Alligator mississippiensis: one gene and its partners. The protein of the gene in region 1 interacts with the protein of each later gene in a biochemical or structural test. Links are inferred from orthologs where the notes say so. Each region holds a gene or a part of one and is shown in the gene's direction. Other genes may lie near its edges.

The links.
Region 2: the proteins of PEX19 (region 1) and ABCD3 form a complex in vitro, tested with the Homo sapiens proteins (4 studies listed by BioGRID and IntAct, with this or other methods). The link is inferred for Alligator mississippiensis from reciprocal best matches to the Homo sapiens genes PEX19 and ABCD3.
Region 3: the proteins of PEX19 (region 1) and PEX13 form a complex in vitro, tested with the Homo sapiens proteins (2 studies listed by BioGRID and IntAct, with this or other methods). The link is inferred for Alligator mississippiensis from reciprocal best matches to the Homo sapiens genes PEX19 and PEX13.
Region 4: the proteins of PEX19 (region 1) and ABCD2 form a complex in vitro, tested with the Homo sapiens proteins (3 studies listed by BioGRID and IntAct, with this or other methods). The link is inferred for Alligator mississippiensis from reciprocal best matches to the Homo sapiens genes PEX19 and ABCD2.

The regions. Positions count from the first base shown.
Region 1 is NC_081838.1:21,135,344-21,142,515, reverse strand, and holds the start of PEX19 (peroxisomal biogenesis factor 19), read left to right. Parts: upstream 1-4,154; 5' UTR 4,155-4,212; coding exon 4,213-4,258; intron 4,259-5,614; coding exon 5,615-5,721; intron 5,722-7,172. Other genes in the region: cilia- and flagella-associated protein 45, read left to right, coding at 1-212, 482-697, 1,280-1,427. UniProt on the Homo sapiens protein: Necessary for early peroxisomal biogenesis. Acts both as a cytosolic chaperone and as an import receptor for peroxisomal membrane proteins (PMPs).
Region 2 is NC_081828.1:34,237,262-34,244,620, forward strand, and holds the start of ABCD3 (ATP-binding cassette sub-family D member 3), read left to right. Parts: upstream 1-4,355; 5' UTR 4,356-4,409; coding exon 4,410-4,528; intron 4,529-7,359. UniProt on the Homo sapiens protein: Broad substrate specificity ATP-dependent transporter of the ATP-binding cassette (ABC) family that catalyzes the transport of long-chain fatty acids (LCFA)-CoA, dicarboxylic acids-CoA, long-branched-chain fatty acids-CoA and bile acids from the cytosol to the peroxisome lumen for beta-oxydation.
Region 3 is NC_081824.1:211,841,219-211,848,440, forward strand, and holds the start of PEX13 (peroxisome biogenesis factor 13), read left to right. Parts: upstream 1-4,210; 5' UTR 4,211-4,341; coding exon 4,342-4,415; intron 4,416-7,222. Other genes in the region: tRNA pseudouridine synthase Pus10, read right to left, coding at 390-515. UniProt on the Homo sapiens protein: Component of the PEX13-PEX14 docking complex, a translocon channel that specifically mediates the import of peroxisomal cargo proteins bound to PEX5 receptor.
Region 4 is NC_081827.1:29,209,092-29,216,916, forward strand, and holds the start of ABCD2 (ATP-binding cassette sub-family D member 2), read left to right. Parts: upstream 1-4,813; 5' UTR 4,814-4,850; coding exon 4,851-5,753; intron 5,754-7,791; coding exon 7,792-7,825.

The DNA.
Region 1 (7,172 bases):
AGCAGAATCTCCACCTGGCTTCTTGCTGCCTGGGCAGTGCAATCAATGCTTCCCTCCTGGCAGGATGCTCTCCGGGTCAAGCAGCATCAGGAGGCCAAGGAGACGGAGTGGCTGTACAGAGAGATGGAGGCCATGCTGAAGCAGAGCCACTTGGAGCGTGCCTCGGTCATACAGGCACAGCAGAACCGCAGCTCTTTCCAGCAGATCCTCAGGTAGTGCGAGGCGTGGCCTGGCCCCAGGATGACAGTGGGGTTGCAGGCCCTGGAGAGTGTGCCTGTGGGGGAACTAAGCTAGGGCACATCAGGCTTGCCCTCTGCAGCTCTGGCTGAGCCTGGGGTGCACAAGCTGCAGTGGAGACAACCTGGCTCGGGTAGACATAGGACCCCATGTATGCGGGAGGGGGTGGGCCAGCCCCAGCAGGAAGGTCATGGTCTTTCCAGCCTGGGCTGGCCCCTATCACCAGCACTGGCATTTCCCCCAGGGAGCAGGCACTGAAGGAGCAGAGGCAGCAGGAGAAGTGGGCGACCCAGAGAATGGTGGATGCCAAGGACATTCAGCACCAGATGCAGAAGTATCAGGAGAAGCTGGCATGTGAGCGGGTTGTCTCCTTTGAGGACAAGAAGCATCTACAGAAAGAGAGACAGTGGCATGCTGACCACATTGCCCAGCTCAAGAGGCAGAGGATAGAGGAGCTCCGGTGAGGGTGGGACTATGTAGGGGCTGGACTGTGGGTGCTTGCAGGGGTGCTGGTCTTGGGGCGTCGCCCACCACATCTGGCACAACTCATGCTGTCTCTCCCTTTGCCATGTCCTAGGGCAAGCTGAGCCCCTGAGACTTGCCAGCTGGTGCGGGAGCAGGGCAGGGGGCCCAGGCCCTGGGCTAAGGGCAGGACGGCTGCAGCAGGACTGGCCAGGCCAGTGGTGGGAGCTGGTTGGGAGGGCGGGAGGCAGTTCACCTTACTGGGTGCTGCACCAAGCTGCCCTTCCTGCCACCTACTCTGAGCCTCGTTTCTGCCCTCCATGCTCCCGTGCTCACTGGGGGCTGGCTGTCCCCATGGGAGCAAAGCCAGAGCAGAGTCCCTCCAGCTGGGCTCAGCCGTCACCTGTTGTCACAAGTCAGCCCTGGTCCCGGGGGGCCAAGGTGCCAGATGTGTTGCTGAGCCCCTTGGGGCTGGCTTTGGGCCCTGGCACAGATGGAGATGCCATGGCAGGTGGCCCTGTACCATGTCTTGCTCCATGGCAGTGGTCTGGGCTCTTACTAGTTTTTTTCCTGTTTCCAGAGCCACCAGCCCACCCGAGAAATACTGCCTAGGTGTGGAGTGCGTGGGCTTGATGAAGCCAGGCCCCAAGGACCGAGGGTCTCTGCGCACTGCCCAGCCCATGCCAGGGGACTTCCAGGGGGTCATGTGTGGCCTGCCCCCAGCCTAGACTGTTTATATTCTTGGATTTAGAAATTGTAAATAAATGTTTGTGAAGGTTTACCATACGTCTGGGTTTTCCTGGACATGTCCACTTTTTGGATGCCCCCATCTGGGTGTTTTTTTAAAATATCAGCAAATGTCCAGGATTTTGCTTTACCTCTGCCCCAGCAAAGGAGTTGCTGGGGACAGCGGGGAAAGGTGATTGGAGGCAGGGCATCACATGCAGCCGCAGGCAGCTGAGAGAGAGAAAGCATGTGTGTGTGTGTGTGTGTGTGTGTGTGTGTGTGTGTGTGTGCCCACACATGCTGAGAGAGAGAGAGGGTGTGCGTGTGTGTGTGTGCATGTGTGCGTGGGCGTGCTTGCCAGTGCTGGGTCTGCAGCAGAGTGGGGGAAGGGAGCGGAGGGGTTCTTCGGGGGCAGCAGGGCTTGGGGGGGCAGGGGGCTGCAGGTCAGGAGTGAGGGGTATCAGCAGGCCCTGCTGCCACTGTGTCCCACTGAAGGAGGAGAGTTGGACCTCGCCCAGGTTTATTTTGGAGGCTCACTGGTGCCCCTGGAGTGCAAGGCTCCATTACAGCAGAAACTTAGTGCTATGCCCAAGGTCTTCTTGCTCCACGAATGAGACATGGGGTTGGCCATAGGGATAGAGCACCACATACGGCTACAAGACACTAGAGCATTTCCTGAACGATCACAGAGGATTGCACTTGCCTTCCATGCGCTGGCTGCCCGGCCACAGAAGGCACGTGGTGTCGTGTGCGGCTCCCCATGTTCAGACCCCAGCATGCAGCAGCAGCTGCCCCCACCCCACATATAAATCTGGGGGGGCAGGTAGCCCCTGTGCCTAACCTGGGGTGCACACAGGTGGGAGTCTCCCTGATGCCCCGGCAAAGCCTATGTCATCCCAGGCAAGATAAAAATGGGCTTGGGATATGACGCTGAGCTCTGCAGGCTGACTGTGGCAGGCGGGTGGGGGTGCAGAGCGACACCGAAGGTGGGGCCTGGCTGGGCCCGTGCAGCTCCACGAGGGGATGCCACCTGGCTCAGGGGGGCTTTCAGCTCTGGGCTTGGCCTCCCTGCACACTGGGCACAGTGCGAGCAGGGCAGAGCCATCCCTGCTGCAAGGGCCTGGCCACGGGAGCACCTGGGAACAGCTGCCTGCAGCTGCCCCAGCCTGCCTGAGCCCTGGCCCTGCCCACCTGCAACTGCCCTCAAGGGGCTGGGGCCAGGGCAGGTGCTGCGCGGGGGCGGCTGCACTGCAGGCTCCCAGGCGGCTCAGCTCTGAGCACTGCCTGCAGCGGCTATTTCCGGAGCCCACGGAGTCCATGCTGTGGCCCAGGGGGCTCTGTCCAACTTGTGCTGCACCTGGCATGCACAGAGCCCAAGCCAGGAGAACCCCGAGCCTGGTGTCCTGCCCCGGCCAGGCAGCGTTCCCTTGTGGGCAGGGTGGCTGTGACCCATCCCCGTGGGGCTGCACAGCCTGGGCTGGGCCCCACCTCCGGTACTGCTGAGCATCCCCCCTGCAGCCCGAGTCGGTGGAGCCCCAGGGGAGCCCCTGCTCCCCACCTGGCCCCTGCTCATCTGGCTGCAGCCTTCCCAAGGGCCAGCCAGGCCAGCCTGACTGCACTGCCTCCCCTGTCCCCCCCAACACCTGCTCTCCCCATGCCTCTCCCTTCTCTTTTTTTTCTCCATCTCTCTCTTCCCTCCCTCTCTCTCTTCTCTTTCTTTCTCCTCTCTCTCTCCCCCATCTCTCTTCTCTCTTCCTTCTCTCTCATCACAATGTGCTTAACAAAAAAGAAGACACAAGAACAAAGGTAGCACATGAGGTTTTATTTATTGTCACCAGGTTTAGAATTTTGAGAAAACCTGCTATTTACTGTAAAAAAAAAAAAAGAAGAAGCAGCCACATTTATGATTATTAACTATATTAATCTGCAGTGTGTCCTGCCATGCAGCCCCCACCCCAGGTTTGTTTTTCTGGGGTGTCGGCACTCTGGCACCTTACAGCATACACAAAGCAGTTTTTTTCAGTGCCCTGGCCGAAAACGTTGCCTACCCCTGGTTTACACCGTCTTTTTTTCCAATTTACAATTGTTTTATATGGCTACCGTAACCGGTAAAACAATGTTTTATGATTACTAAAGGTTTTGATGTTGTATTAATACACAGCCTGTTACCTATGTGTATGAAAAATTTGCTGGTGGTACTTAAGCCTGTAGTGCATGTACATGGTTAATAGGATTCACATGGACTTGGAAGGACTTCTTTGAGGTGACTTTGCTGGACTTTTTGAAGGGTTCTCGGCTGCTGTGTCTTCTCAGGAGTCCCGGCGGCAGGTTTTTCTGGAGTCTCACCTGCTTTCTTAAAGAAAGAGTCCAAGGAAGTTTGCACAGATGAGTTGAGCGACGCAGTGAACTTGTTCGCCGGCGTGGCGTCGTGTCGGATCAAGTGCCATAAAGTCGCAACTGAGGTCAGAAGTTGAAACAGGGCGTCCGTTTATAAACGTTGTAGGTGGGAAACGTTGCAACTCGAAACGTTGTACAGCGCTGCGCCTAGTCCAGCGGACAGGGCAAGAAGTAAAGCGCAAGAAGCGCAACCGAGGCTGCGGACTGCGCAGAGCTGGACGCCCGGAGCGGGTCAGCCCAGGCAGCGCCGCCCCCGCCCACCAGGGGCGCACGCGCGCCGCACGCGGGGCCGCATCCCACCCACACGGGCGCAGGAAGCCGGCCGAGCTCAGAACGAGGCGGGGGGCGGGGTCTGCGGTAGCTCCGCCCAGCTGGGGAGGCAGCGGCAAGATGGCGGCGGCGGGGCCGGACCGGGAGCTGGACGACCTGCTGGACAGTAAGGCCGGGCGGAGCCGGGGCTCAGGGTTGCGGGAACTTCCTTCTTCACATGCGGGGGCCGCCGGGTGCGGGAGCGGGGCGGGAAGGGGCCTCCTTCTCCTCCCCCGAGCCGGGTCTTTGTGCCCCCTCCCGGCACGGCACGGCACGGCACGGCTCGGCTGCCCGGCCCGCGAGGAAGAGGGTTGTGTTGTTCTCCCTGCGGTCCCATCCTCTTTGCACCCCCCCCCCCCCCGCAGCTATTCACCCCCTGTCTTCTCTAGGCAATTGTTGTGCCTTTGTTTTGTTGCCATATGGGAGAGACGCCAGCCTCTGACGTTGTCACGACATCAGAGACGTTCCCTTCTTGGCACGCGCACGTGCCGCGGGTTAAAAAACACGGCTCTTTGCAGAGGTGCAAATGGCACGTGTGTGTGTGTGTGTGTGTGTGTGTGTGTGACACGGTTTCCACGATGGCGCCTCTTGGGAGCACTGCCCTGGTCAGCCGTGTGCAGGGGGTGTCCGACGGGCCTCTCAGAGGTCTAGAGCAGACGCCAGCATCCGAAAGGCAAACCCCTCCTGTGGGTGCAGCAGTCGGCGTTTCCAGGTGCTGCAGCTGAACCTGGCTTTAAGGCGCTGACTGCCAGCAGCATTTGAACCCAGAGGTCCCCGGAGACCAGCACCCCCCAGCGAAGCAATAGGGGCCCAAGTGCTTCGGGAGGGGAGTGGAGCTGCCGTGTGGCCGTGCCAGCTCCTCCCGCCTTGGCTGTTGGGATGCTGAGCCGCCTGGGTCCCGGCTTCTGCAGCGGCCTTTTCGGGGGTGCCAGCCTGAGCCTGAAGAGCTTGATTTAAAAGTAGGAGTGGGATTTCAGAGCACGGGGCAGTCCCCGTGGAGGTCAGGGGCTGTCGCATCCTCTCGCAAATGCTGTGTCGTATTCACTCGGAGCCAGTTGAATCCTTTCACCACCCCTCACTCGGGAACGTTGTGCAGGGATGGCTGCAGTTACGACTGGGCAGCTCAGGCTCAAATGCAGCTGGTGCGACTGAAGGAACAGTTATGTCACCCGTAGGTCGGTGACGGTGTGCTCACATCCCTCTGTCCCCAGTTGAAGCTGCATCTCATCCGCAGCAGGTCTGAATCCCCTTAGCTTGGAGAGCAGTGCGAGGGACTGGCTGGGCGCTGGTGCAGAGTATGGCTCTATACGTGACATCCAAAGACATGTAGTGAACTGCAAACGTCTTGGCTGGCTTCCTCCATGTCATGCTGCTCAGGACTGCCCTGGTGTTGTGGCCTTGGTCTGACTTCCCTTATCTCCCCCTTGTCTGGGACCTGTGTGGTCTTATCCCCTCATCTGAGCTCTCTGCTTTTGCCCTGAAGGTGCTCTTGATGACTTTGACAAGACCAAGCCGGCCCCACCACCCCCAGCGACTGCCGGAGCAGGAGATGCCAGCAGTGCTGAGAAGTCTCCTAACGATGCTGCCAAAGTAAGAGCAGTGACCACCCATGGCTGTATGGGCTGGAAGGGTACGGGGAAGTATTTCCCTTGTCTTAAGCTTGGGCAGAGTTGTTGAACTGGGAACACGTAGCATTTTCTCCCACCCAGTTGTGCAGGGACAGTTGCGCACTATTCAGCATCTTCATCAGTGACTTGTGCAAGGGGGTAGAAAGCACCCTGTTCAAGTTCGCAGATGACACTAAGATGTGGGGTGAAGTGGGTACACTAGTAGGAAGGAACAGGCTGCAAGCAGATCTAGACAGGTTACAGGGGTGGGCCGAAGAGAACAAGATGGGGTTCAACACTGACAAGTCCAGGGTGCTGCACCTGGGGAGGAAGAACCAGCAGCACACCTGCAGCCTGGGGAACTCCCTTCTCACCTGTGTTGAGATAGAAAAGGATCTTGGAGTCATTATTGATGCCAAAATGAACATGGGCTGACAGTGTGGGGATGCGGTCAGGAAGGCCAACCGTACCTTGTCGTGCATCCACAGATGCATCACGAGCAGGGCCAAGGAGGTGATCCTCCCCCTCTATGCGACACTGGTCAGGCCACAGCTGGAGTACTGCATCCAGTTCTGGGCGCCGCACTTCAGGAGGGATGTGGCCAATATGGAGAGGGTCCAAAGGAGGGCCACCTGCATGATCAGGGGTCAGCAGAGCAGGCCCTATGAGGAGAGACTGAGGGACCTGAACCTGTTCAGCCTCCAAAAGAGAAAGCTGAGAGGGGATCTGGCGGCAGTCTGCAAACTAGTCAAGGAGGACCAGCAGGCATTGGGAGAGTCCCTGGTCCCCCAAGCAATCCTGGGAGTTACAAGAAACAGCGGACACAAGCTAGCGGAGGGTAGTTTCAGGCTAGACATTAGGAAGCACTATTTCACTGTCAGGGCGGCTAGGACCTGGAACCAGCTTCCAAAAGAAGTGGTGCTGGCTCCTACCCTGGGGGTCTTTAAAAGGAGGCTGAAGGAACATCTGGCCGGGATCATTTGACCCCAGCACTCTTTCCTGCCATGGCAGGGCGTCGGACTAGATGATCTCCTCAGGTCCCTTCCGACCCTATCAACTGTGAAACTGTGGGTGGGTGGGATGGTCTGGTTCTGGAGCCAGGCACCTCAGTAGCTCAGTAGCCACTTCTCTTCAATCTCATGTCATTGCAGTTGACTGGTTTTATTGCCAGCCTCAGAAGCAGGCTCTGGATGCCCTTGTGTCTTGCATTTACACCTCCGATTTGCTGGGGCACATGTTGAAAGATGAGTCCAATGACAGCTGCCCCAGTCCAGTCAAGCTCAGTAATTGGCAGGTGCTTGGGGTAAAGTTCATGACTTCCAAACATGGTGGGCCAACAAGTGTCCCCAGAAATATTTCCCATTGTGGTAAATGCATTAGGATCCATCTGTGGCAGGGTCTGGGCTGAGCTCAGATTCCTGGAGCGAGATCTGG
Region 2 (7,359 bases), on another chromosome or scaffold:
CAACTGGCCCTGCCACTGCTGCTCCCGAGGGCACAGGCCCTAGTAGTTATGCCTCAGAAGACCATAATAGTTGGGTTATTGCAGAAGACAAACAGATGACAGAATGCCAAAGAAAATCATGCAAACACAGCCATGGTCAGTCTGCCCTAGAGGCTGGCAGCCAACTAGACGGTTAGATACTGGGGCACAGGGGACCATGGCCAAGCTGGACTTACTGGATAAACAAGCCTGGAAAGGAATGAAAGGTGACACTACACTCTGTATGTCTGCAAAGATGACCTGAGATGAAAAGCAGCAGCAGTTTACTTGTAAAGCTTCAGTGAACCCTTGGAATCAGAACAGCACTCCTTTTTTCACAATTTAAATGATGCAAATTATTTGACTTAAAATGATGGAACTGCCCTTATTTATGTTCCTACAAAATGTATCTGTTGCTATGAGGTCTAAGTATAAATGTGTAAGTAATGCATGTGGTCTACTCAGCAAAAGAGAATAAAACCTTGATGCGCATGAATTTACTAACAATATTTTGCATATCTGTCGCATTTTTCTTCTGAGGATCTTAGAGCAAGCATTTTTTGTGATATCTTTTATTGGACCACCTCTACAGTTGGGAGAGCTGGTGGACAAGCTTTTGGGCATCAAGGGCTGTTCTTCAGCTCTCCCAACTACTGTATACACTTGGTCCAATAAAAAATATCACAAAAAATCCTTGCTTCTCCAGCATTTTCATTCTAATATAATAAAAAACCTTAGTGTGTCTGTCTGTCTGTCTGTCTGTCCATTATGCTTTATTCATGCTCTGACTGGTTGTCTCGGCAGCCAATCACAATGCTGACTAAAACAACCGATCAGAGTGCTCTGCACAGACAGACACACACGGCACAGCGTCACCATGCTGGCAGAAACTGAGGGGCCGAAGTAGGGGGGTGAGGCCAGTAGTGCTGGTCTGCCCCCTGGCCCTGCTCCTTGGAGGCGGCGGCAGCGCAGGGTGCTGGCAGTGCAGCACTGGCCTCGGCTCTCTGCTCCAGCCTTGCCGCCACATCCAAGGGGCGGCCACGCCCCACTCCAGCAGACAAACAGGAGCAGAGGATGGGGGACACAGGGGGTGGGGGGGGCCACAGGGCCGGAGGCAGAGTGGCTGCAGCGCTCCATCCCTGCCTGCTCCCTCCCCATCATTCATGAGAGGCAATTTGCTAGTTATGGCTATAACAACACTCCAACTCTATTTATTCCTCAAAGCACGTCTGTGATCTTAATTTAACATATGTAAACACTGAATCATTGTGAGTTTTCTGACTTACCTAAAGTCACATATAAAGTTGGGGTGGGGGGAAAGGACATGAATCTAATACTCAGAATCCAATACTCTAGAAATAATCTAAAAAATGTATGCCCTCTCTCTCTGTCAACTTTAATTTTATATAATAACGATGCTCTGAAACTCTAGGGACTGGGTCATCTTAAATTTCCCAAGAGAGTGTATGGTGCCTGATAATGCAAGAGAAGCAAAAGGCAGATGCACTATATCATTCATACTGAAGAATGACAGAGAAGCCTAGAAAACTGGGGGAATGGAAACAATGGAAGCACTCTTGGGCATGTGATTGCTTTTACCTCTTCCTAGTACTTTCTTTTGCATCCAGTGCAAATTCCTATAGTATGCCAGCTGGGGAAGGGAATTGAGTAGATTTTTCTAAAAGTAAAGGGCAAGTGTGTGTATGCTGCAACTAGAATAGAGCAACTGGTTCATCTACTCAGGGCAAATTCTGTAGTGAGGCTTTCCAGGGTTATCTGTCTGAGGGTTAGTCTACATGCTGACTTGCAAAGGTGTGAACTGAAAGCCATGCAGCTATTTCAAAGTAAGTCTGCATATGAACACTCCCCCTCTCTCCCCAAGAAAAGTTGATAAGCCAATTCTAGCAGAAGCATATTCAAGAAGGGGCCAAGGGAGAATGCAGTCACCTAATTTGGCAGTGCCATGGCCTGTGCAATGAGTTCTGAGCTCACTGCCTGGTCAGTATGAGTGCCTACTGGAGCCCCATATAACCAGTGAGGACAGGGTCTGGCCAGAGTCACCATTTTTGTAGGGCTCTGGAGCCTGGGGGACTGCTACTGCTGTTAGCCTTTCCTTTCTCTTACCCTCCCCTCTGATTTCAGCAGCAGGGTAGAGAGGTGGGCAGTAGCACTTACACTCTGGGCCCTGAAGCCACATGAAAGCAGGAGGTCTCGGCACACTCCACACTGAGAGTTCATGTATAACAGCTGGAAGTGAATGCAATTACACCACCACATCCTCACTGGATCCTAGCAAGGGCCTGTTCTACACTACTGTAACTATTTTGGTGAGAGGATGCAATTTCCTTTCCCACTTTGAAATAATTATACCAGTGAAAGTTCTACTGTGGTCTAAGTTATATAGGTACACTGAAAGCATTGCCAGCTTAAAAATGTTGGCAAGGAATTTGAGTTTGGCGATATTTCACAACCAGTAAATAGCTGTAGTGCAGTAACTGCTTTTGCTGGTATCACTTTTTTTGGTTTTCAGATTGACATAACCTCCACCAGCAAAACACTTTTTGATAGCATAACTGCATCTATACTAAGAGTATTTGCTAGTATAGTGATACAAGCAAAACTTTTCTCATGTAGACCTGATACACTGGTAGAGTTTTTCTCTTTTCTATAAGAAAGTAGTTATAGAGTTATAAAGCACATCTACACTGCTGCAACTGTGTCCACACAAACCATTTCTTCAACTAACTAGTTAGCTGATACTCTGATGGTATCCGCTTCGGGTATGTCATAGAATTATAGGGTTGGAAGGGACCTCAAGGGTTAATCTGTCTGGACCCCTGTACAAATGCCAGAATGCTACTCCGAGGCTATTCCTGATCAGTGCTTGTATCCCCGTTGTCCAGTACCCCTGTGCAGTCTATTGCACTGCCTTAGTATTCTAACAATGAGGAAATTTTTCCTGATATCTAATCTGAATCTACTTTGCTGCAATTTAAAGCTATTGATTTGTGTCCTGTCCTCTGGGGCAAGGGTGAACAGTCATTTTCACTTTTTTATGGCAGCCTTTCAAATATTTGAAGATTGCTATCAAGTCCCCACTTAATCTCCTTTTCTCTAAGCTTTCCCCATATGGCCTGCCTCCTAACCCCTTTATCATTTTTGTCACCTGCCTCTGAAACCCTAACTTCTCCATATTCTTCTTAAAATGTGGACTGAACACAGTATTCTGATATAACCAATACCAGGTAGAGTGGTACTCCTACCTCTCATGTCTTACACTTAATACTCCTGTTGATATGGTACAAAATTTTGTAATTGTGCCACGTTGATGACTCGAGTCTGTGATCCATCAAAACTTCTGTATCAGTGATTCGTAGCCAGAGTGCCACACGATATTAGCATGGTTGGATATGCACGCAGGAGTCACAAGGTAAACTCAGGTTCCAAATACGAATCCACAGTGTCAAAACCATTCAGGCCTGTTGTGGTCTTTCTGGCTTCTTTGCAACAAACAAATTGCTCTGTTTTTTTATTTGTAGTAAAAAAAACAAGTGAAAACTAAGAGCTGGCATTCTCCAAGGGGCACCTCAAGTCTTAAAAAGGCTGAAAATCATTGCCCTAGATTCTTCCTAGCAAGACTGGGAAGGCTGCCACCCACCTAGTTATCTCCCATTGTTTATTTAATCATTCTTCCCCAGCTGCAGCATCTTACGTCTGTCTGCACTGAACTTCCTTCTGTTGTCTCCAGCCCAAGCTATCAAGAGCCGTCTGAACGCTACTCCTATCCTCCACTGTGTTCCCAGTCCTTCCCAGTGCGGTGTCATCTGCCAGCTTGATCAGGAAGCTCTTTGCTCGGGCATCGCTCGCTAGCAGAGGACCCCGGACCGCTGTGGGACACCTCCCGGTCCGACCCTTGCCCATTCGGCCTTGCCCTTCGCTGGCGGGTACAGGACCAGTCACCTCTCCACCTCAGCGTCATGTTATCGGGTCTGCGTTTCTCCAGGTCACCTGTGAGCACGTCATGTGGGACTGGATGAAAAGTCCCCTCCTCCTCACAAGTCAGAGCATCACTTAACAAACTTGCAGCAAAATGCTGAAAAAGCTTTTAATCCCCACCTTGTACCAGGGCGCTGCAGGCCTGTGAGCAGGACCAGCCCTCGGGTGAGGGACAACCTTCACCTTGGTGACAGGTGACAGCTCTCCCCGAGGCGCCGTCTGTTGTCCGAGGCTTCCCGCCGCCCGGCCCGGCCCGGCCCGGCCCTCCCCTGGCCCCGGGCCCGGGGGCGGGCGCTGCTGTCGCAATCGCCGGGCGGCTCCCGGCATCCCCCGCGCGCCGCCCGCCTCGGCTCGGCTCGGCTCGGCTCGGCGAGCCGGCTGTGCGGCGCTCCAGCATGGCGGCCTACAGCAAGTACCTGACCGTGCGCTACTCCACCATGGCCGGCGCTACCGCGGCCGCCTGCGCCCTGCTCTGCCTCCTCAACAAGCGGCGCCAGGAGGCTGCGCAGCACGGGTGAGCGCTCGCGCGGGGCGGGCAGCGCCTGGACCCCGGCCCCATCCCGGGCCCTGCCCTGCCCCCGGCGCTGCCCGCAGTGCCCCAGGGGGAAGTGCTGCAGGCGCGGCAGTGCTGGGCAGCGCGGCCCTCGCCCCTGCGGGCCGGGGGGTGGTCTTAAACCCCCGGGACACATCGGGGAGGATGGAGCTCGGCCTCTTCCCACCTCCCGCCCCCCCCCCCCCGTTTTTGCTGCCCAAACGATAAGCTAAGAAAAGCAGTGAGCAGGAACAACGAGCAGGAACAGGTCCCCGGGGCTGAACAGCACCTCAAGATGTGGGCGCTGGTTTGCGTGAAAGCAGTCAGGACAAGAGCCTGCGTGTACCCATTGTGTGGCTTTTGGGGCGCTTGGCTGAATTGAAGAAAATAACAGCCAGGCAGTTTAATCTCAACAGTACATTTTTTAATTGGAGGTTACTCGCTCTAGACGGGGGGTTGCTCAGCCTGTGGGCCAGACCCAGCTCCCAGAGCCTCTTTTTTTGGCCTGTGGGGCTGCCCACAAGTTTGAAAATTTGGTGATGGGGAAAGTTTGCTGCTCCCCTGCTGCCAAATTTCCAGGCCTGTGCAGCACTTCCGTGGGCCAGATAGCATGGCCCTGTATGCTAGAAGATCGGGCACTCAGGCACCAATCCCCGGTGCGTGCGGCCAGTGAAGGGCATGACACAGATGAGCAGTGGTCTTTTTTGGTCCTGTGGGCCCCTGGACAGTCCCAGGAGCTGCTCTTAAATGTTGAGTAGAATGGCATATGTGGTTGGGTGAGGAAAGGAGAGAGTTCTTGCTTTAAAAGGCAGTTTTTAGATCATTCAAAAGCAATTTTGAATCAAAATAATCTGACCCTCATCTAGCCCTTTCTCCATGTCCAGTTTTTTCTTGCATCGTGGCTACTGTAATCTCATTTTTTGGATCCTTGCCTTCCTCAAATCCATTTTACACGCTGCTTCTGCCAAAGCAGTCTTCATTGCTTGTCAGTTTGTCACCTTCCTTCATTGGTGGCTGTTTCTTCCCTGCAGCATTTTATCAGCCGCTGGCTATGAAACTTAGAGTACCCTACCTGTTAAAAGCCTGGCAGATGGTGAACAACAGTTCTTGCATCACTAGCCTACGTACATATCCTCTTATTAGTGTTGCCTCATCCTCCCTCCACCCCATCAGCCTATGTTATACTAATTTGCTGAATCATATCGTTAATGTAGCTATACTTGGAGCAGGGGTAGTCCTTTTATCAAGTTTTTTCTTTTTTTTATTCTGTTCAGTTGGGGCTTGCTTGTCATAATGAAATACACATGGGTTTACCATGTTAATAGTGATACAAATCATCCAAAGCCCTGTGTACCATCTAAATCTTGTGGTGCTCTTCTGCAGGATGTGGGTTCTGGGGAGTAGAGCAAGCAGATGGGCTAGATCAGGGGTTGTCAACCCACAAAGCTCATGGACTGGGAACTCACTGGCATTCAGTGGAGCAGGGACTCTGCCTGTGCTACACTGCAGCTAAGTGGCAAAAAAGTGGCCGGGGGAGAAGTTGTGGTAGCAGCAGGATCCTAGCTTTGGATCCGAGCTGGGTGATTCTAGCCTGCTGCCAGAAAATGTTGCTGAGCCTTGGGCTAGAGAATTTCTTATCACAGCTTGTCAGGAAGAAAGCTCTTTGCAGGTTGTGAACAGGTCTTATCTAGAAGGGGCAGTGGGTCACAGTGTATAGAATCTGAGTAAGGAGCAATGGCTACCCTTCACCTTGTAGTCTGGCCTGTTTCCTTCTCCTAATTACTTGATTGCTTGATTACATTGTCTCTCTGCAGGTAAAAGTGAATTTTACCCTTTGAAAAGGTCTGGTTTCAACATTCTGTTTGGGGAACAACATGAAGTGTGAGGACAGGCTCATACTGGGGTCGATTCAGTGGGATAGTTATACCAGTTACTGTACCAGCAAAACACTTTTATTGTGGGTGTGACTTATACCAATAAATCTGCCCTTTTCTTGGCACTTTTTTCATACCCTACCCTGCTCTTTCCAGTGTATTAAAATAAAATGTACAATAGAAACGCATCAATGCTGTCCATTTTTGCCAACACAGCTTTGGTCACAAACCCCACTTCCTCACTTCCCTGACCAGAGATTGTATCATATATCTGGCCTAGGCCGTGTTTTAGGAATAGTATGATATGAAGCTTGAAGAAATATTAAAGAATTATTTGAAGCATTATTGGAACATAATTTCATAGTGCCCACTCTAACTTTATTATATACTATATTTACTCAAATCCAAGATGAAGATTTTTCCCCATTTAATGTGGGGAGATGGGTCTTGTATTGTATTTGAGGGCCATGGTTGGAGCTGCTGCCTTGCTGGGGCCAGAGTGGGTTTCATAGATTTCATAGACATTAAGGCTGGAAGGGACTTCATGAGATCATTGAGTCCAGCCCCCTGCGCAAAGGGCAGGAAGTCATTTGGGGTCAGATGCTTGCACCGCTTCTGGAGGGAGTCTGTTTCAGACTCTGGAGACTCAGACGTAAAGTATTTTAGATTGGGCATAAGCAAAAACTTGTCTTCCAGCAATTTGTGACCATTGGACCTCGTCTTTCCTTGGTGCCCAGGTGGACAGATATTCTCCCAGATCCAGATGCACACCCCTGATATACTTATATCAGGTTGAGGTGGCTTGTGCAGTGGGGGGGCATGGGGAAGACCACACAGTGGTGGGGAGTGCAGGGAGGAAAGATGCTGGGGAGTCTGCTCAGAGTTGGAGGGGGGCAGTTTAGGAGACAGCACAGTGCAAGATGGGGGGAGCTGGGGAGA
Region 3 (7,222 bases), on another chromosome or scaffold:
GTATTAACATTTAGTATAAAATGGCATTACAAATGGGTATGGATAAATGCAGAGGCGGTTACTCTGTATTTATCACAGAGAAGAAAACATTCACATCTTTCAAGATCAGATTCAATAATCACACTCCACTGACTGAAATGGTGGCATTCTTCCAATGCATCTATCAATAAAGCTACATTGTAGAAGATAAGAAGCAATGATTTTACCTTAACTTAAGTCTGCTAAACCTCTTCCTCTCAGGCCTGCAGATCCAAGTACTGACACCACCAATAACTGACTGGCGTTCATAAAGTTGCATATTGGAGCAACTAGATTAAGTCCAAGAGAAGTGTAAAAAAGCCCCACACTTTCGTGTTCTTATATTTTAATTAAAAAACAAAACAGGAAACCTTGTGTGGACGCCTGTAAGATTCCTGTGATCCCACACAGCAGAATCTGAAAACACATCGTGGGCAAGTGCCAGTATTCAGTAACAGCTGAGCAACAGGTCTGTCCTTTTCTGTCAGTGAAGACATGCTGGATAACCCTAAAAAAAAAAAAAAAAGCCAAATATGGATAGTAAGTGATTTTAATATTTACCTCCTAAACATAAATTTTCAGAGAATAGAAGCTATTTTAAAACCAACCTCCTCTAAAATAAACTTAATTCATTGCAAACCATAGAAAGATAAACTCATGTGAATAGGACCTTTGGGATCAATGCCCTAACTTTTAGATCACAGGTTGGCAACTTTTTTTTTTTTTTTTCGGGGGGGGGGGGGGGCGCGAAGGAAGATGTGGAAATGACCCAGCTTGGGTCTGAGGCAAGTCAGTACTAGGACTTGACTACCTCTGCTGCTTCTCCCTGCTGCAAGTCTGCAACAGTGGTGCAGGGAAGCCTCCCCTTTCATCAAAGCCCTGACTGCAGTGTAGTGCAGGGAAAGCTCCCTGCTGAAGCCAGGGCTCCACAAGCCAGATCCAGTCCATGAGCTGTAGGTTGCAGACCTCTGTTCTAGACCTTCAGATTAGTATGACTGGTTTGCTACGGTCTATCTATTCCACTAAATAATATATTATCTATGACAATTATACACATTATAATAATTGTGTATAATATGTAGGCACAGGACTACTGACCCAAAAGGAAACAGCTCTGCTTGCTGGAGGCTAGCAAATGAGACAGCTAGGCAGACTTGCTCCAGAGCTATGATTCTTCATTCTGGGTGTATCTACACAAGACATTTACTGCAGAGTTGCCTAATATACTCTACAGTAAAAGTCTTGACATACACACACGTAGCCCTATTAGGCCTCAGGAAACTGATAAACTCTGCAGCAGGGTAGTACCTGTAAATGCAAGTACTTTCCTGATGTGGAGTTTTTTCATGTGCAGCAGCATTGTTTATAAAGGGAGTTTTAGGACATCCAAGCCTAACAATGACCACCTAAAAATAAGTCACTTGCTTAAAACAAGAATTCTCCTACAATGACTTTTCTCCTAAAATTATTCTTTTATATGTGGGCATCTGAATTTAAGGGGATTTCAAGAATTTGGAATATCTAAAAAAGGGAGCACTTGGATTTCCAGTGATGCCACAAATAAGGCATTTGCTTAAGCTCATAACCACAGCCTGGCTGACTCCAGCTCAGCCACTTCTGTTTTGAGCTACCAAAGTAGCCTCCATCCACAAAAGGAAGAATCAAGAGAAGGGAGAGACAGACAGAAGAGCCCAAGGCTGTTTTCCCATCATCTGTAGGAGGACATCACCTCTTGCAACTAGCCTGAGAAAGAAAGGAGGCATTAAAGAAGCAAAGGAGATTCTTTGAGTAAGGATATAAAAGTGAATTATGTTTCAGAGTGCTCCCAAATGCCACTTTATAAGGCTTCCCAATTATATTTATTATGCAGTTATATTAATGGTACCCAGGTGTCTCAATCAAGGTTAAGTCCCCATGATGTTAGCTGCTATAGACAGCTGGAGAGAGAGAGAGAATCACTGTCCAAAGAGGTGTATGATCTAAAAGAAAACTAAAACTATACCCCTTAAATTTCATGCTTTACACACACACACACACACACACACAAAGTGTGTGCGCATGTGCAAAGAATGTCTTGCATTCAAAAACTTGTCTAACTTTATTTAAACTGCATAGTTGATCCAATAAAAATGAGCCTAAGAAATTCTTGCCTCTTGTAAAAAGAAAAAAAAAAAAACCACACTTAAGATGTATAGTTTGAGTTTATATAGCATATCATTAGGTGGGGGGCACCAATATACTGGTTGGCTAGCGGATCGGCACCGATAAAAAGAGAAATGACATTATCAGCTATTGGCTTTTCTTGGTCGCTGTAGCCAATAATTATGGCTGCATGTCCAGAGCACCCTGGTGAGCACAATCCAGTCCCTACATCCCACCGCCAGCTCAAGCCCGCAGCATACTACAGGTCCCAGAGAGCAGTGGGAGGGGGTGCTGGCGGGTGGTCACAGGGTGCCAAGCTCAGCAACAAAGGGACTGTTACTGGCTCCTGCTGCTACTGCCACTGCCATGGCAATGCTGCGCATGCCGCAGAAACCTAAGCACCGGGACTGCCATGGAGACGTTGGGCTGTGCACAGGCAGGGTAAGGCACCGCATGAGGAATATTCCGCTCTGCCGGGTACCAGGCATCTTTGCAAAAATGGCTTCTCCCTGGCAGCTGCAGGAGCTTGGCTTTGCAGGCTTGGCTTTGCGGCCCAGTGGTGCTGAGGTAGTAGACTGCTCTACAGCTCCCAATGTATCCAGCACTACTGTCTGCACAAGAGTCCATCCTGCCCATCTAGGACTGCAGCTCAGGGAGCAGGCCTGCAGATAGGAGCTGTGGGCGAAGGGGTGATGCGTGTGGGAATAAGGTGGTCACTGCCTTCCTCATCAAGGGTCAGAGCAGGCAGGTGTGCATGCATGCGCAAAATGCAATACAAACAAAAGGGTTCATTTATGTCAGTAGCTTAAAATCCTTGCATTATTATTAAATATTGGTTACGGGATCAGCATCGGCCAATATGCATGCTTAATCATTGGCTATTGGTATCAGCCAAGAAAATCTTTATCGGTGCACCCCTAGCTATTATTTATACATAGTAGGTATTATAAGGCACCTGTCTCCTGAGACAATAGGTCTGAGCTAAGTGAGGCATCCACTCATTGAACATCTTTGAATGTGGCCATAGAGCTGAGCTCTTGAGCGGCAGTCCCTTCTGCACTTACCACATGAGAAACTGAAGGAACTGTCACCCAAGAATTGTGACAGCTGTTTAGCAAGCTGATGCCTCACTCAGTGCAAGTCTGTGGTGTTGGGAGACAGACAGATGTCCTATAATGCCTAGAATGTATAGTTTTAGTTCACACACACACACAGCCTTAGGGGAGGGCAAACTGGGCGACCGCACTTTAGGGGCTCCCAAACTTTTACAACAAATGTCCAACTTGCTTATAGGTCATCAAAATTAAGCCTCAAAAAGGCCCCAAATGACTTTCTTGCCCAGGGCCCCAACAACCCTAAGGCCATCACTGTATACACACGCACACACGTATAACTTATACATATATACATAAACTACATCATAGTTTATACATAAACTAAATCTATACATCTTAAATGGAATTTTGTTTTGATATCTTCATATATACACACATATACATATAAGGATAACCTCGTGTGTTGTAGGTGCAGAAGGAACGATCACTCAATATATACTCCCTGTGTGCATACGCGTCACTCAAGATGCTCCACGTAGGCGTATAGCCACATACAGACATGTACATACGTAGTCACGCACACCCACACATACAGCGGTACATGCATGCACGCGACCCTACACACCCATGCACGTACACACCTATGCAGGAGGGGGCACGTCTGTGCGCGCGCGCTCGGATTATTTAACAGGCTTCCAGCTGGGCCTCACCCGCCTTCGCGGGACTGCAAGCTTCAGCCCTAAGCTCCACAGGCCACGTGGCAGCGAAGCCGCGGCGCGCGGGGACGGCGGGGTACGAAGGTCACGCCGCGCCAGCCACGAACCCGCGCCAGGCCGGGGTTGCCGCCTACCTCCGGGGGCTGCAATAGCCGCCACTGCTGGCGGACCACGCAGCCCTCGCGCCAGGGTGCGCGCGCATGCGCCCCGCCTCACCCCGCCCCCCCGGAAACAGGCGCCGGGCAGGCCAGAGCAGAGGCAGCCAGAGCTCGGGATCGAGAGGCGCGGCACTGCCCACAAGCGACTGCGGCAGTGGCCAGCTCGACGCTCCCCCCGTCAGGCCTGGCTGGGCCGCGAGCTCTGCAGCCGGGTGGCAGCTGCGCTCTGCTCCGCTCGGCTCAGGGCAAGACATGGCGTCGCAGCCGCCCCCCCCGAAGCCCTGGGAGAGCCGGCGCCTCGCGGGCACCGCCGCCCCGGCTTTCCAGTGAGTGCGGCCTGCCTCTCTCCTCCCCCCCACCCCGGCGCGGCGGGGTGGACTGGCTCATGCCGCTTCTAAAGAGATTTCCCCCCCTCCCCCGCGAAATGGTCTCGTCCAGGGCAAGGGCCCCTGCGCTGCGCCGCGGCCGGAGGCCCCCCCTCTCCGCGAGGGTTCTACCGCCCCTCCCCCCGCGGGCGGAGGTTCCAGGACGGTTGGGGCGTGACCAGCCAACGGGCGGTCCCTCGCCCCCCCCCCCCTCCCCCGGGAGGCTGGGTCCCCTGTGTAGGGGTCTCCCAGTCTCTCTCAGGTGAAGGGAACCGGTGGCTGTGGGCACTGCGAGGAGGCGGAGAGGGGCCCTAGCCACACGCTCCCGTCCAAACTGTAGTCTAAACCCTGCGTAAGAGGACCGCCAGCCCTGCTGCAAGAACACGCCCCAAGGTGCGGTGCCACCCCCACAGGTGCCAAGATGCCATAGCAAATGGTTTTTTGGTGGTCCCTCTGTTCGGGGTCAAACCAATTGCCATGTTGGAGGTCAGGGAGGAGTTTTACCTCATGGTCAGATTCATAGGAATCATAGAAATGAAGGGCTAGAAGGGACTCTAAAGATCATTGAGCCCACCCCACCCTGCTCTGGGAAGATTGGTCGGACTGGCAAGGTTTTTGCTTTGCTCTGCAGCAGGGGGTGTGGGCCTCTACCCAGGACCTCTTGAGCATATGTTGATAACGTTTCAGACAAGCAAGACACCAGCTGCCGGTTCCCTTGCTTTACCTGTGGCAAGTCAGGTGTTAGGTCTGTGTTGCATAAGGGTTGGCAGTGATCTTATGTAGAGCTTAGGTTATGGCTTGTGTGGGGCAAGTTGGATCAGGATGATCCTGCCTCAGGCAGGTGGATTGAACTAGAGCAGTGTTTCTCAAGCCGTGGGTTGCAACCCAAAAGTGGGTTGCAAGAATTTATGAAAGGGTTCTGAACGAACTTTAAAAATGATGGCACTTTAAAGGAGAAAAACGTGGAAAACCGCGGCTTTTCTCTTGCAGCCTGGCAAAGTCCCAGCCTGTGAGGGGCTGCTTGCCCCACCTTCCCACCCCCCATACACGCTGGGGCAGCAGCCAGTGGTTTAGGAGTGAGAGACATTTGATCAGGACTGGCCATCAATGTTTACAAATGGGTCCTGGTACAAAAAAGGTTGAGAACCACTGGTCTAGATCTCTGAAGGTCCCTGCCGGCCCAACTTATCTACGATACTACGATTCTCCCTGGGCAGGTTCCCAGCCCTGTTGCAGAGGGGCAGGCAGCCTTGTCAGCCCTAGGGTGCTTAAAGGGACAGAAGTCTATTGTTTTTGGTGGGTGGGTGTCATTTCTCTGTAACTCATCTTTCTGCCAGCAGTGGCTACCTTCATCCCTAGTCCTGCCGCATCAATATGGCAACAGAGAGTGGTGCCTGGGCTCACTGGGTAGATGATAAGGAGTTTTTTGGCCTTTTTTTTTTTCTATTTCCCTCTGCTACTAAAACTGTTTTAGCTGTCTTTTTGGAAGTATGTTTATGTAGTGGCTTTCCATGTCCCTGAATTCTGTGGTTGCCCTTGGCAAAATTTATGGGATAATCTCCTGGGCAGAGGGATTGAGTTATATCAAACCTGATGCTTTGAGACTGATAGATCTAGACCACCAGTGCCCAATTTTCACGGGCTGGAGGAGTGGCACAAACCAGACCACAGGCTAGATTCTACACATGGTCAGTGCATAGGGTTGGTGCGTAGGTGCAAGCCTGCATTCCTGGTTCCAGCCACAGACCAACCTCGCATAGTGGGGCAGAGCCACATTATCCAGCCCACCGCTAGATAGTGGAAGCTTAGCTGTCACCACTCCCCCTACCACGGATGGGCATTTATTTGGGCCTGAGGGCCACATAGGGAGTTTTGATGAGCTGCTGTAGGTCGGGTCAGCATCTTTCTCTACCTCCTGATGCAACAACTCACCAAAACTCCCTCTGAGGCTTTGGGTGGGCAGGGACCAGTGTTCAGGAGCAAGAGGGTTGGCACGCATGTGCATGGGGTGGAGGAGGCTGCATGGGATCCAGCTGGGAGTGAGGGGAGGTGGAAGGAAGCATGCAGCAGAGCTCACCCAGTCAGCAGCTGTCCCCACAGCACTCCACATGGAGCCGAGTCCCACCTGGGACAGCCTGTGCCATGATCCCACCCACACCCACTGGCCTGCACCCAGCCCGGACCCGGGTCAGTGCACAGCTTCTGGTGGGGCTGTTTCCAGTGCGGCTGCAAGCAGACAGGCTTGCAGGCTTGTCACTGGGAGGCAAAGGGAGTACAACAGCACCCAGCCAGTTGCAACTGCATTAGGAACAGCCCCACTGGAAGCTGCATGCTGGCTGGAGACCAGGCCAGCAGGAGTGTTGCGCGGGCTACCCTGGCTGGAGCGGATGAGACTTGGCCCCATGTGGGGGCAGCCACAGGCCGGATCTGGCCCATGGGTTGTATTTTGCCCACCCCTGCCCTAGCAGCAAATTTTTAGCCCTTTGGGGAGCCTTGTGGGCTGGAAGACAAGGCCTCACAGGGTAGATTGTGAGGCCCACAGGCCTCACATGACCTCACGGGCTGCTGATTGAGCACCATCGGTCTAGACAGATCTGGAGGTCTGGACTCAGTACTTCATGCTATGTGGGTTAGTACACAAAGTACATGACCATTTCCTCTCAGTGCATGGGTTTCAGATGACATGATAGGTCCTGTCTGCTCTGATCATATGTTAAAACAATCCCATGATGCTTTTTTCATAAAAAAGCACGGGTCAAACTCTTAAT
Region 4 (7,825 bases), on another chromosome or scaffold:
AGAAGGCTGGATAGGCATCTGTCTGGGGTCATCTGACCCCAGCACTCTTTTCTGCCCAGACAGGGGGTCAGACTCGATGATCTGTTGAGGTCCCTTCCAACCCTAGCATCTCTGAATCTCTGAATGTTTGTACAATCTAAGATCCTGATACTTAGCATACATAAGAGCAACAGAAAAACTAAAAAGTCCTCCAAAATGAAGATGACACATAATTTATTAGCTAACACTAAAAAGAAAGAGCAAAATAAATACTTATTTTAAGTAGACATAAAAGGACCAGTTACATAAGAGACACCAAACTTTCTCAAATCACACTGAAATCATTGCTCTGTGTACGTGTATTTTATGCATACAAACAGACATGAGTATATGAAATATACTTACTTCATTTATAGTTGTATATTAAATTATTTTTAAAATTTAAAAGTATTTTCAATGTTGATTGACCAAAATACCTAGGCTATGGGACAGATAGCTCACATTTATTTTAAATTCACCTTTTATTTTAATTTCATATCCCATGAAGCCATACCTATGAGTTCCAAGGCTGCAACAACTTTTCCAGAAACCCCACTCTCTGATATTACAACCTCCATTAGATCTCAGAACTAATCTGTAGAAAACCACATAATTGAACTATTGCCTTAAATTTAGGAAATTTTACATGATTTTATAATTTAAATGACCACAGTAAAGAATATATTATAATATCATATCAAAGGTGTTTTAAAACTCCTGAAAAGTATATCCTTGGATATACTTCCTTCATCCCACATTCCAATTCCTGTTTATGATCATTGGTCCCTTGGGGCGCTCTGGTGAACAGACATCCTCCCAAATCCTGATGTACACCCCTTATGTACTTATAGGCAGCCACCAGGTCACCCCTGAGCCTATGCTTTTCCAGGCTGGAGAGTCCCATGGCTTTCAGCCTCTCTTTATAAGGCCTATTCTCTTGCCCTCTGATTACGCGCATGGCTCTCCTCTGGACTCTCTCAAGCTTCTCAACCTCCTTCTTGAATTGTGGAGCCCAGCATTGGATGCAGTACTCCAGCTGCAGCCTCACCAAGGCTGAGTACAGCAGGAGGATGACATCCTGAGATTTACGTGAGAAGCATCTATGGATGCAAGCCAGAGTTTTGTTTGCTTTACCAGCTGCGATGTTGCATTGATGGCTCATGTTCATCTTGTGATCAACCATGACCCCCATGTCTCTTTCAGCCATGGTGCTAGTGAACATAGCACTGCCAAGCCTATAAGCGTGCTGCAGGTTTTTTCCCCCCAAGGTGGAGTACCTTGCATTTTTCGGTATTGAATGTCATCAGTTTTATATCCACCCACTTTCTAATCTTACCCAAGTCAGCCTGGTTCACTAGCCTGTCCTCAGGTGTGGACGCTATGCCTCAAAGTTTAGCGTCATCGGTGAATTTGGCCAGTATGCTTCTGACTCCAATGTCCACATCGTTGATAAAGATGTTAAAGAGAACTGGTCCAAGGACAGAGCCTTGGGGGACACCACGGGTCACAGAGTGCCATAATGATTCACTTCCATCAACTACTACCTCTCTGGGTCCGACCTCAGAGCCAATTTCCCAGCCATCGGGCTGAGAAGAGCCTCCTCCCCAGTGGAGTGAGGTGGAGGTTGTCTCTCCCCAGCAGACCACCGCCTCTCTCACTAAAGAGCAGACTGTGATCGTGGAAGGCAAAGCCTTCACGATGACACCAGCACTGCAGTCTTTGGTTGACTACCTTGATCCGTCAGTCCCTCCTCAGTCCATGACCCACAACCAAGAGGAGTGAGGAAAAAAACACCTGCACCCCCAACCCCCTAAGCCCCGCTCCCAGAGCCCTGTAGTCTCTCATGACCCGGCTGGGATTGCTCTGAGACATGTCATTCATGGCCACATGGATAAGGAGCATAGTGTAGTGGTCGGAGGGCCAGATAAGCTTTGGGATCCTCTCCGCTACGTCCCAGATACATGGGAGTTTATTGCATGGGAGTTTATTGATCCTAGGTGCCCCATTTGAATGTGTGCCTGGAACCACAGCAGATTGAACCAGGTCAGAGCAGCCCTGGCTGGCAGGAGATGTGTGGGCTCTAGGGCTGCTCTGACCCGGCTCAACGTGCTGAGGGGCTGGCTGGGGCACGAGTGTGATCCAGTGTGGCAGCCAGCTGGATCAGCATCTACACGTGTGTTGCTGCGCATGAAAAAACTCCACAGCAGATTAAAACTTGTGTTTACCAGTACTAACTTGCTGCAGAGTTTGTTAGTTTCCTGTGGCCTAATAGGGCCACACGTGTAGATGCTGAGATGTTTACTGCAGAGCTAATTGGGCAACTCCGCGGTAAAGGTCTCATGTAACTGTACCCGGTTAGTAGAAATTGGGCATAGCCTTTATCTTAAGGATATCACTTTTACTGAGTTTTGGTCAGTATTTCATCAGCAGTACCTGAATATTACTGTATTATGTTTTGATGCACTGATCTCACCAGTCATTACTAGTCATCAGTTCTACGAATGAAAGCTATGTTCCACAAAGAGTAATTTGTTTATGGACTAAGAAGATGGACAGTAGCAAAGCGAAAAACAGGGCACCAAGAGGAGGAAAAAAGAATGCAATTAAAACAGCAATTCAGACTTTTCTCGTGTTTTTCAAAGGAAGAAAAGATATTGCTCTGATTACAGCACTGCATATTCAGGTAATTTTTGTTTCATTTAATACCCCTACAGGCCTGACCTTGCCACGTGTGTTTGCTCTTGCCGATACCAACTCACTATGAGCTTCAGTCTCCCTGGCTCTTGTACAGCTAAGAGTCAGCAGATATGCAGAAGTGAAATAGGGATCTATGAACTTTCCCCCTTTTAAAAAAGTGCTAGGGCAGTGGAATGTTGCAAGTCAGTGCGGTTTGGCATATCAGCTGCAAGAGATATTGTGACTAAGGCATAAAACAGTATAAGGATGGAAATGGAACTAAATGAAAACTGCAATTTTTTTAAAAGTAACTTTAAGTGACTGCCTAAACAAGGCACTTTTAACTCCTCATACTTAGTGCCTGTGTATTTTTAAATCATATGCAATCTGCTTTGTTTACTGACAAAATAATTGCTAGTGCAACTGGCTCAGTTTGACCAAAGAAGAGTTACTGCACTCTGTTCTATCTCAAATGTCAATAGAACTATTTTCTAAGCTATAATTTTATTTTATTTTGATTTGTACAGCAAAAATCCCAAAAGATGTGAAAAAGGCATCTACCCAAGCCTCTAGGATCCCCTGACAATACTGAAAGCTGCAGGTATTTAAACAGCTACAGTTCCATCACTGTTATGCTCCCATCTGTTTTACCTAAGCCTTTTAATCAACAAGAGCTACACACTGAAAGTGGAGATGGAAAAACATCCTCCTAGGGGAAAGGAGAAGTGTAGCTCATATGTTAGAACTTGTCTGGTTTTAGGCCTTATTTTCAGGAGACTGCTGCTCAGCTGCTGCAGGAGTAGCACAAGATTGTGTTTCCTGTCTGAAACAGGAGAGTTGCTCACTAAATGTCACAACTGCTCTCTGCGTATAGAGGTTGTTTTATAACAAGACTATGAACTAGTTGAGCTCTGCCCAACCTGATTTACAGAACAGTTAGTTTGAATCCCATTCAGCAGCCTTATGTTAATAAACATCTTCCAGGCAAGTCTGTGATGCCGAGGTTCGGTACTCTTGTGTATTTCTAGTAACACTTTTTCCAAACTCCAAGTTCTTTCTTATCTCCACCAAATGTAGGAACCCGTTATGTTGTCACATCCATACTGTTGCTTCACTGCTTTGCTTTTTAAACTAGTGAAAAAGCTTCAACCTTTTTTGAATGTTTTTTCTTTTCTCCTGCTCTATCTCTGGGGGTCAATGTGGGGGTTATATGACATGACCATTCAGGTCCTCCTGTAAACCTGTCATTTCAGAATTGATGGGGTTCAGCAGGTTCAAGTTCAAAGTAATGTCTTTATTGTTTTTGCTCTCAGCTGATTTGTTTTGTTTGTAAAGTTTGTAACATGATAGGAGTTACATGAAGATGTGGTATATAGTTTTTGTATATTAAAGTTGTGTAGATAAAAGCAGTATTAAAGTGAAATGTAGTTTTCTTGCTCCTCTGAAGTGGGGAGGCTCCCCTGCCCCTGGGCTTCTTAGACACATGGCACTATTATAGGCCGGTACATCCTATACTCTGACTAAACTGGACTTCGAAATAAATGGGGAACAAGAAGAGGGAGTCAGGCAGAGAGAAGGAAATGGAAAAGGCAGGAGAACCGTGGCTGTGGGCCTGAATGCCGCGTGCCCCTGGGGGCTGGGGGGCACAACGAGGCGGCGGGGGCGCTGTCGGCGGCAGCGGATCGCGAACCGCCTGCAGATGCCGCCGGCCGTGCCGGTGGCGAGCGGCGACCGCCCGCAAGCAGTGTCGGCAGCGCCTTTTCGCAGGGGGTGCCCGTGCACCCTCTACACCTCTGCAATGGCTGTGGGAGCGGCGTTGTGGCACCCAGAGTCGCTCAGGATCTTTTCTTTTTCTTTTTTTTTTTAAGGAAAATGCTTCGCGTGCCAGGTCAACCGAGCCCAATGCAGGCGAGGCGAGGCAGGGCTTCCGCCTCTGGCGCGCCCAGGGCACGCTCTTTCGGAAGAATGCTGTTCCTATCCCGCCGGCTCTTTGCGCCCGCGGCTGCGACGGGCTGAGGGACCCGCTCGCCCCCGCCCCCGGCGGCCGCGGCCAATGAGCGCAGCGGGGAGGAGCGGGGCCGGGCCGGGCCGGGGCGGAGCGGAGCGGGGCTGAGGGTGCTGCAGCCGGAGGCGCTGGCAGCCGGAGCGGCCCCGCCATGAGCCCGCTGGCGCAGGCGGCCGCCGCCGGGCGCGGGCCGTGGAGCCGCGGGGGCGCAGCGCGGCGGGCGGCGTGGCTGGCGGCGGCGGCGTGCGGGCTGCGGCTGCTGTACCCCGCGCTGCGCCGGCGCCTGGGCGAGGCGGGCGGCGGGGGCGCCCCGCGGACGGGGCCGGGGACGGGGCCGGGGGCGGCGCCGGCGGCCAACTTGGAGTTCGTGCGGCAGCTGCTGGCGCTGCGGCGGCTGCTGTTCCCGCGCGGGGCCGGGCGCGAGGCGGGCTGGCTGGGCCTGCACTCGGCCGCGCTGGTGTCGCGCACCTTCCTCTCCATCTACGTGGCGCGGCTGGACGGCAAGATCGTCAAGAGCATCGTGGAGAAGCAGCCGCGCCGCTTCGCGCTGCAGCTCCTGCGCTGGCTGCTCATCGCCGTGCCCGCCACCTTCGTCAACAGCGCCATCCGCTACTTGGAGGGCAAGCTGGCCCTGGCGCTCCGCACGCGCCTGGTGGAGCGCGCCTACGAGACCTACTTCGCGCACCAGACCTACTACCGCGTGAGCGGCATGGACGGCCGCCTGCCCACGCCCGACCAGTCGCTCACCGAGGACATCATGCTGTTCGCGCAGTCCGTGGCGCACCTCTACTCAAACCTCACCAAGCCCATCCTGGACGTGCTGCTCACCTCCTACGCGCTCATCTGCACGGCGCGCGAGCGGGGCGCCAGCCCGGTGGGCCCCACGCTGCTGGCCGGCCTCGTGGTGTACGCCACGGCAAGGGTGCTCAAAGCCTGCTCGCCCCGCTTCGGCAGGCTGGTGGCCGAGGAGGCGCAGCGCAAGGGCTACCTGCGCTACGTCCACGCCCGCATCCTGGCCAACGTGGAGGAGATCGCCTTCTACCGCGGCCACAAGGTAGGGCGGCCGCGCACCGGCCCCCGCGGCGGGTGCGGGTGCTGGTGCAGGTGCAGCGCGGGCAGATAGGATCTGCTGCCCATCAGCCCCCTCCCTCCACCCCAGCGGCTTGAATTCCTCTGACTCCGAAGCCTGTTTACGGCTTGCTCTGGCTTTGGTAAAAAAAAAAACAGTACCCAGCACTGCCGCAGCTTTGTAGGATCCACCCCCCCCTCCTCCCCCCGGCCCCGTTGCTGACTCTGAGCTGCACCACGGCTCTTTCATCCTCCCTGAGAGGCTCCTCCAAACGGAGCTTCTCCTAATGTCTTCTGTTTTAAACCCTGGCAGGCTCTTCTCATTCATTCTTTTTCATTTCATAGCAAACGAGGGTTGGGAGGGACCTCAGGAGGTCATTTAGTCCAACCCCCTGCTCAAAGCAGGAGCATCCCCGACTAGAGCAGCCCAGTCAAAGCTTTGTCTAGCTGGGTCATAAAACCTCCAAAGGATGGAGCTTGTGCCACCTCTCTGGGTAACCTGGTCCAGCGCTTTGCTACCCTCCTAGTGAGAAAAGTCTCACTAATATCTAACCTAAACCTCCCTTGCTGCAACTTGAGACTGTTGCTTCTTGTGCTGTCATCTTCCAGCACTGAGAACAGTCCAGCTCCATCCTCTTTCAAACCTCCTTTCAGGTAGTTGAAGGCTGCTATTAAATCCCCTCTTAGTCTAACTAAATAAATAAGCCCATTTTCCTCAGTCTCTTGTAAGTCAGGTCCCCTAGCCCTCTCACCATTTTTGTTGCTTTCTGCCAGTCTCTCCAATTTATCCACATCCTTTGTGTAGTGGGGGCCCAAAACTGGACACAGTACTCCAAATGTGGCCTCACCAGTGCTACATAATTACTATTTATTTAATAATAAATTTATTATTTATTTTTTTCTTATTAATCTTATCCTCACAAGTGTAAGCAGAGGCGCTTTCAGGGTGCTGAAATCCTCTCTCTCATAAATGATGTCATGCAAAGGCAACAGTGTTGCAAGGCGATGCAAAGGTGAATTTTGCTTTTTGGCAGAAGGCAATGCGACCTTTGCCACGGTTTTGGTAGCTAAATCAAGAAGTGGTGTCTGCAGAGCCTTAAAATAGCAGAAGTGCAACACTGTGCCCCAGCAATCAGGGTTATGTAAAAAGTAGCTGGTTGTTTTAATGCTAGCTGAGGAGCAGGCCCTAATTTTATCTGATGCGAATTCTGGCAGGAACATCTTTTGGGGGGGAAAGAGAGATTTGGGGGGGGGGGAGGAGTTCTGCCTCATGCGGAAGTGAACAGTGAAAAATGGCCTGCAGTGTCACTGCTCTTTTCAGTCAGCGTTATTCATAATACAACATGAGTAGCTCATGTTTATAATGGCAAGGCTCTGCTGAAGCTGTGTCACACTGCATTAACAGCAGCTAAACTAAGAAGTTTTTTCTTTCCCATCACTACTATGTTATTTCAGCCAGATTGTTTTATATCCTACTTCACATGCAATTCATTAAGCTGTTTGAGGTAAATGGTATAAATTATCATTTTCTGTAGCCAGCTTGCTATGTTATTAAAAATCAGGTCAAGATATCAGTTCTATAGGTTTACTCAGGCAAAACTCCCATCAGAGCAAATGGGAGTGAGACTGAGTAAGACTAGCAAACTTAATCCCTACATCAGTCACCAGCATTGCCCAGCTCATAAAGTTCCAAGAACAGAAACCATTCTGGGTGTTAAACATTAATTAAACTTCCATGGATTGTGAGGAGCAACTCTTATGACTTGGGCATTGTTCTCCAGGTGTGTAAGATGGCATCATAAGGGGTACAGACCTGCAAAGGAGCTTCACTGTAGACAGGAATTTGGTCCATAGACTATATGAAAGGTGATACTTTGTATAAATACCACACACGCTTTTACAAGATGTAGAAAAAGATTTAAATTCAACTGTAGATATAGGATTGCATCATGAGTGTGTATGTGTACTTTGTAAGTATGAGTATCTATGTCATACTGTTTTAGTATCTCCATTTTTAACTATAGGTAGAAATGAAACAACTACAGAAAAGTTACAAGG